2 linked regions of the Bombyx mori genome follow. The protein of the gene in region 2 purifies or fractionates together with the protein of the main gene of each other region. This does not show direct contact. Links are inferred from orthologs where the notes say so. Each region holds a gene or a part of one and is shown on either strand. Other genes may lie near its edges. The genes, in order: ATPase inhibitor-like protein and myotubularin-related protein 9.

What was found.
Region 1: the proteins of myotubularin-related protein 9 (region 2) and ATPase inhibitor-like protein purify together in Homo sapiens (affinity purification with mass spectrometry; 5 studies listed by BioGRID and IntAct, with this or other methods). This does not show direct contact. The link is inferred for Bombyx mori from reciprocal best matches to the Homo sapiens genes MTMR9 and ATP5IF1.

Annotation. Positions count from the first base shown.
Region 1 is NC_085111.1:3,390,280-3,393,936, reverse strand, and holds ATPase inhibitor-like protein, read left to right. Parts: upstream 1-1,300; coding exon 1,301-1,356; intron 1,357-1,915; coding exon 1,916-2,042; intron 2,043-2,813; coding exon 2,814-2,948; downstream 2,949-3,657.
Region 2 is NC_085121.1:12,311,456-12,315,962, forward strand, and holds the start of myotubularin-related protein 9, read right to left. Parts: upstream 2,834-4,507; 5' UTR 2,637-2,833; intron 2,114-2,636; 5' UTR 1,982-2,113; coding exon 1,835-1,981; intron 1,054-1,834; coding exon 800-1,053; intron 216-799; coding exon 17-215; intron 1-16. UniProt on the Homo sapiens protein: Acts as an adapter for myotubularin-related phosphatases. Increases lipid phosphatase MTMR6 catalytic activity, specifically towards phosphatidylinositol 3,5-bisphosphate and MTMR6 binding affinity for phosphorylated phosphatidylinositols.

The sequences.
Region 1 (3,657 bases), on a different chromosome or scaffold from region 2:
TGATTACATCTTTCAATTTCTTGTAATGCATTATTATTAATGAATTGCTGTTCGTTAGTCTCGCTAAAACTCGAGAACGGCTGGACCGAGTTGGCTAATTTTGGTCTTGAATTATTTGTGAAAGTCCAGAAAAGGTTTAAAAGGTAGATAAATACAAAAATGCTTGGAATTAAATAAAAATAACAATTTGTTTTCCCTTTCAAGTGTCGCCCGTCGGACGGATTCCTTTTTTATGTTTTAAGTTTATTTTATACAAAAGCTTAGGTCTTTTATTTATCGATTGAGGCACTACGAAATCTGCCGGGTCAGCTAGTTATGATGTATTTTTCGTTCATACACAGTACCCAAAGGTTAGGTATCTACGTTCGGGTACGTATACTAAGTATTGTTAAGTAACAAAAAAATAATTGACATGTTTTTTCCTTAATTTAGAGATCTTGACCAGTCATGTTGCAGCGGTACAAATATAAATGGTTCGTCTTCGTCTACATTTGAAGTAATTTATAGAAATAGTAGAAATTCTCGAGAATTTGAAGCTTCTTGTACAACTTCTGAGCAAGATTCGACTGCCAATGACACTGAAATGGCTTTAGAAGAAAACAGAGATGTTGAAGAAAACATACAAAAATCAAGGCATGCATCAGTAATGACAGACTTTGAAGATATTGATGATGAAACGAATGACACGATCAGAAATCAAGCGAAAGAATTCTTAAAGTTAGTTGTCTGATATTGTACCATTACATTTTTGAAATTTAGTATCTCAAAACGCTTAGTGCCATCTAGAGCGTTTTTTTTAAACTATGTATTAAATTTTGTTTCGACCTATCTATTTTCACGCTCACATTTTTAGATATACCTGCACGGAAAGGCAAATAAAGATGGAGTCTTTAAAAGAAGAAAGGCAGGTTATTAGAGCAATGCGAGAAACTGCAGAATTAAATAAAATTATAGCTGAACAAAAACTAAAACATGTGTTATGGGTGAATAAACAACAGATGGCGTTAGTTTGAATCTTTTTCTCGTTTACTTTAATTCTAACATTTCTAACATAAGTCTTGTTTAATCATTTTTCCTTAAGTATAAAAAATGTTTTAAATATTTTTTTAACAAATTTTTAAATTCAATTTTAAAATATTATTTTCAAAACGTACTTGGTAGATGTTTTCGAACGCTTCAAGAGCATAGTGATATTTTGAGAAACGTCAAGTGTGCTGGTTTTTCATTCTTGATAGAAAATCCTGAATAATTTGGAAAAATCACAGCGAATTTTGATACAATTTAAACATTAACGAAAATCATGAATTTCCTTCCCAAAACAAGAACGTCATTCGTGCGTGCTATCGTCAATGTTAGGTAAGGGCTTAGCAAGAGCCACAAGCGGCCGGCAGGTTACGCAACAAATTTGAAAAGCGCATTTAGAGAATGTTTTTTACTTTTGCAATAACGTAAATTGATATTATTTTTGGTTTTTGAGTACTGTTTAATACATTGTGACTAGAAACTTGAGCATGGCAATAAATGAAAACAATTTCTTAGTTTCATTGTTTAAAGTCACATTTTTAATCATTCAGTAGACAGATGGTAGGTAGGTAGGTATTTAGGTATTTACTCATCTATTGTCAATGATGCAATAAAATAAACAATAACTCTGAATCATCATAATATTTTAATTGTGTGGCAATTTGTATCCCCCATTTAAACCATATTTGTAATTTCAGTTCTTATTTAAAAAAAAAACAACCATCTTTTAAAATTTACATCATAGATTCAGAAAAATTATTTGAGATGATTTATTAGTAACTTTTTACCCTAAAATTCTTAAACCATATATGTGCAAAACTCAGAAAGGCAAATAATATGTTTTTATTAAATATTAAACTCAATAGTAGGATTTAATATAATTTGATTATAGAATGTATGCAGGCGAACCTGGATCTGGAGCCGGTAAGGGTGGTGGTGGTGGTGGTTCGATTCGAGAAGCCGGTGGTACCTTCGGTAAAATGGAAGCTGCTAGAGAAGATGAATACTTCTACAAGAAGGTATAGAATATTTTAGTCTCATAAGATGTAAACTTTGGAAGCTGGAAAGGCTATACCACTTTTATTATAAACTAGCTGACCCGGCAGACTTCCTAGTGCCTCAATCGATAAACAAAATACCTAACTTTTGTATAAAATAAACTTAAAACAAACAAAAGGAATTGTCTGACGGGGGACCCACAAAGGAAAACAAAATTGTTATTTTTATTAAATTCCCAGCATTTTCAAATTTATCTAATCCTTTTAAATCTTCTCTGGACTTCCACAAATAATTCAAGGCCAAAATTAGCCAAATCGGTCCAGCCGTTCTCGAATTTTAGCAAGACTAACGAACAGCAATTCATTTTTATATATATAGATAGAAGATACAGATATTCTGTTAACCTTCAATCGAATGTGGAGCTACTGCCAGAAAATCCTGCGTTAACTTGAAAAACTAGATTTCGCTTGTCTGTTTTTGGTTTAGTTATGAGTATAATAGTAGAATAGAACAGTGTTATTTATTTATTCTATAGATTAAAATGATCTAATCCCTAAATTATGTTTTGTGGTAATGGGAGCAACTTTATAGTGGCAACCATGAATTTAAAGCTTCAATTAATTAAATTGTATAAATGGGGGAACACTTTGTATATGAATCAATGATTAGTCAGGTCAGTGGTACTTACCCACGTGGACAGTATCGCTCCTGAAGTTAATATGAAATACATGGGCTACAGATGCCTTCTTAATCATCAATCAACATTTGAGCTGGGTTTTTTTCATTGACAGCAAAAGGAACAACTAGCAAACCTGAAGGGGCACTTGAACAAGGAGATTGCCTTCCACCAGGAGCAGATCAAACGACATGAGGATGCGATCAGGCGTCACAAAGAACAAATGTCTGACATTGAAAAGCCCCAATGAACTGGACATCGATAGTGATAGTTTTCGAAGGCCTAAGAATATTCCTACAAAACAAAGAAGAATATAAAATTTATATTGTTTTAAGTAAACTCTCCGGCTTTTATTTTCTCTAGTTACTAAATTTCAAAATAAAAAACTAAGTAATTTTTGTGTAGTATTTTTCTTAAATCAATACATAGAGCTGGTATTGATAAGTTAAATTAATGAACAGTGACTTGCTTTTCTCTTTGGTATTGGATTTGATTTAAGTATTACTTATCAAAGATTTATTAAATGAAGTTTCAATACAACAATAGTCACTGCCTTTTAAATGATTTACTCGTTTTAGAAGCGCAAATATACTATCATACGTGAATAACTCTGCTAATAATTTCTAATTCATATACTTTTTTTTTTTTTAACGCTGGGGATTCCATTTACCCGGTCGAGGGGGGTAACGGACCGGGCTATGTCGAACTCCGGCGCCTCCTGAGAGGAAGAAGGGGAGAAGAGAAGGGCCGAGGTCCTTCACCTCCCCCAATTTCTCACAGGAGACTACGCCTTGAAAAAGGCGCGTGAAGCACTTGCCCCGCAGAACGACTACCGACTAAACCCCATCGAGCTCCACCACACCGACTACGCGAAACTTACGGTACCGCGATGCGCGCCGAATTCAAAATTCATATACCTAGCAGCATTGATGCTTGCGTTAAAATTCAAATTTTATCTA
Region 2 (4,507 bases):
TAGGAAATAAACTTACACCATTAGTGTGCCTATATGACAGGACAGGAATCCTGCCTCCTTGACGGAATGTAGCAGCAGCTACTAGGGTCTCATCATCGATGTTTTTCGGTACAACCACAGCTTTACCGTAGCTTGAACACATTGTGTAATTTTGATTTGCTCTGGATACTCTCCACTCTTCCGTTGCTAGTACTTTAGTGAATTCTTCTTCTATACTGTATTTTTTAGGGTTTGTATTAGCTAAGAAGATGGGAAGGTTAATGCACTAGGTACCTAGGTATGTAAGGTATATACAGTAGGTATAGTACATCTAGTAGTCATCGCAATACACAGTAGTACATCTCTTTGGGGGTATAGCTGCAATTTGTTTTTTATTGTTGTTGTTGTATTGTGGTTTAATGTTATCTAGTAACTGGCGACCATTGAGATTAACAACATAAATACCACTACTCACTTTGAGACATGAGGTCTAGGTCTCAGTTCTATATTACTTACAACACTAATGCTTTGCACCAGAAATAAGCAGAGTGATGGTCCCATATGGGTTCACAAGATGCCCCAATACCATTAAATATATAACTATAGATTTATCTGTAGTAGTGCACTACATACTTCCAATAGATATAGATATTTATTCCATAATATATTTAGATAGATTCCATATATTTACAGTACATACATAACTAGGTGTGCTTGTAAAGTTTGCTTAGTAACATCTAGTTGAATATGAAAATTTGCTTTTGAATATCACTTCAGATCAGTGCTCTCTTAAATGTTTCAGTATATTAAATTAACTTACCTATATAAAGTGTATCCGTTCTCAACTATAGGATTCATATGTCTATAAAAGAATGGGTAAAACAGACTCGGATCTTGCAAACTTGATAAATTCTCTAAGGTCTGTGCCATTAAATTTAATTCAGTACTACTGGCAATATCCAGTTGAAAAATTCTCAAGTCTTTACATTTGAGGAACAGAGAACCACCCTGTGTGATGCCACTGCTTGGTTTGTTTTCTTTTTTCTCTATGCTGTCTATATTCTTGTGCAGTAACTGTAATGCCAAAAGAAATACACTGTACAAACTGTTCCATTAATTAAATATACTGTAGAACTAAAAATAAACACACAAACTTTAAAACTACTTATTAAACTTAAAATGATTCAGGTCATTTATATTTAAATAAAAACTTATTGCGTGTATTTGTATTAATTTATGCAAAGGTTTAATAGTTTGTGCAAAAAAAATATTCTTTTAAGTCATATAAATATATATAACTTATATACTAACATATATAATTTACAGAACACCATAATGATTTTCAGATATAGTTATTTTATTTGTAAGCAGGGCTACCTAAGGGGGAGTCACTGATATTTATTGACTACTGTTAATTCACATTAAATATAGTAGGGAATAAATGTCCCAAGAAACAGAACTTAGACTACATTTTATTTCATTGTGATGAATATAAAAAAATGACCTAATGTTTGATGAGCAAAATATCCATCTCATGGCAAGTGCTTATTACATTTCATAGGTATTGACAATTCCAGGGGCACAACCAAATCGGTGCTTACTGCTTATCTATGATCATCAAGGTTTAAATGAAATCTACCCTGGATGTTTGCAAATTTAATTATAAAATGCAAATCGACAATTTTGAAAATATTTAAAGATTATTAAGTTCTAATTGCAACAAGGCATTAACGACCCTCGAAGACCACGTAATTAACAAATCGCTAATTGTTTGCTCTCTGTTTTTGAGCAGAACTCAAAGTTTTAGTTATCTGGCCCAAGCCAATCCAGAACTGTTTGAAGTGAAATTTTGTACCCATAACTCCTGAACGCCTTCTTTTCTGGAGCTCAATATAAGATGATGTCCGGTGATGCACACCGTACCGTCTATATTATCTTGACGTGGATATTTAAGAATAACTCCATTAAGTTTGTTAATATGAATAAGTTCGATGAATTCCATAACTTCTCGTTTTTAAGATTTAAATAGTGAACACTAGCGCAGCTGTTTTACGTTTTGACAAATTAAGCACAAAGTTGGGCTTGTCAACAATGTCAACAAAACATCGCTAGGTTGATACTTTCGTCCATGGACCTAGAAAAGGAATAAAATCGATTTTAAGAACATTAAATGAAATTCTAAGGTTTTTTATTAATAATAATAATTAACTTTTTTTTTATAATTCTTGATTTCAGACGATTATTCGATTTAATATAGATTTTGTGTTTTAGTCGAGACTTCTTACAAAATTGAACTAGAAAATTCTTAATCTACATGAGATGCAGATCTCTAATCATATCGTTTATGTTGAAAAAAAAATCAATTTAAAGGAATATATTTATTCCGATTTCTATTTTCCGCGGACTCAATCAAATTAATCACTTCAATTTTTATTTTAGTATCAAGATCAAGTCTATGACAATGACACACAAATGAGGAGATATCATTAACCTGGGAGATATTGACAATCAAAAGACTTAGCTTATTAAATGAATAATGATATTAGTAATTAACTTCTACTGACAGTCTTATAAATAATTTTATTTTCTTTAAGTTGATTATAACTACCAAAGATGTAGATATGTAAATGGAATAGACTAAACTCAATTAAACTTACCAACCGTTTACTTCCATTTGACTCCATAGAGAAGAGGGCCGCTCGGATTGTTGATAACCCTATTCTTACGGAGCGTTTGGAGCATTTAGGTCTATGGAGAGACTTCGAAGGGCGAGATCTCCGAGGAATCATGTATTTGGCATGATCCTATCATTTCGTTTTGATCATCATACCACCCGCCACCCCGCACTACTGAAGCAAAGTTTATCCATTAAATCTGGAACCACACTCATTCATTCTCAATGCATTTTCAGATATCATTTCTGCGACGCATTTAAAACGAACTTCCCCCCGGTGTTTCCCGAACGCTGTGACATGTCCTTCTTCAAAAGAGGCTTCCGGAGAGTACTCGACGACAGGCAGCGGCTTGGCTCTGCCCCTGGCATTGCTGAAGTCCATGGGCGACGGTAACCACTCACCATCAGGAGGGCCGTATGCTCGTCAGCCTACAAGGACAACATTTAAATATGTGTAAATATATAAGAATTTCATATTTTTTTAGTCTCTGGTACATACAATACAAGGAATCCTAATTTGGGGTTGGATGACCGTGTGTGATTTGTCCCGTTATTTAATTTAAAAAAGTTATTTAGATTTAAATAACACAATGTTAATTCTTCCTAACAGAAGTCGTTCGTAAATATGGATTAAGAACGTATTTCGTGACAGACCCTGCGAGATTTAAACACGGGCATAGACTTCACTTCGTCGCTACAAGCCAAAATAATAACCATGGAGTTAATAAGATAATAACCAAGACATTTTTTTGTTTTGATAATAAGTATAGTAATCAGTTTATACATTAAAAAAAACATTATAACACTGATTTATTACTTTTGTTATTTATATGTAGAAAATAACACTCAAAAACAATTTAAGATAACAATTGCAATTTAATTTTAAATTTTTTGACGAAGTGTCGACTAATTTTTTTCTTTGTTCCATTTCCTAAAGGAAGACTTTTTTTAAATAGAGTTAAATCTATGCAACAGAGTACAATAGGCACGATTTTATCAGAATGAGTTTGAGATGAATGAAGTTAGCCCCTCAAAAAATTTTTTTTTTCCTATTTTATACTTATTTTCTATTAATTCGTTTGTTCATCATTTGTTCATGATTGTTCACTGTTAATAATTATTTGTTCTGCAGTTATTTATTTAAAAAAAATATTTTAAAATATACCTACAAGTTAGCCCCTCTAATGCAATTTTTAATATTTTTTCATCCTTAATGACTCGTAAATATTCATTTTCGATTGTTCTTATATAAAACACGTTTGTTCTCTTTCGAAATTACTCGTTTTTTGTTTAATTTACTATTTTTATTAGTTGAATAAATGTATGCAAAATATGTGTACTGCGCATGCGTCAACTATAATGCCTAAACTTTCTACGCGGTTTTAATCGTGAAAAAAAAACAAACATAAATCCTGAAGGAGCAATTAATTGGTATACAGTTTAATTAAAAAAATTTAAAAATAAATAAATGAAATAATGTGCATTGGCGTTAAGTTAGACCAAATACATATTTTCCATCCTCTTACCTATCGTATTAAAATGTTATTTTACTAATGTTAGGAATATAATTTCGACTGTGTAAAAAAGTTTTTTGGAGTTTACTCCTTTAGAATCGATTTACATATATAGGCCCGGGGTATGAAAATTATGGGGACCAAAATCGTACTAGCATGTCACACGAAATGCGTTATGCGCCTGCGCCGGCAGTCCGCCACAAAGCCTCGTACTGATCGCGCGTTTCTCTCATTATTGTATTTTCATATATTTGTTAGTCGTTTGTTTTGTGTCTCGTTAATTTGTTAATAATCTGTAGTGTATCGTGTTGTCGTAATATAGAACTATTTCTCGTATTGT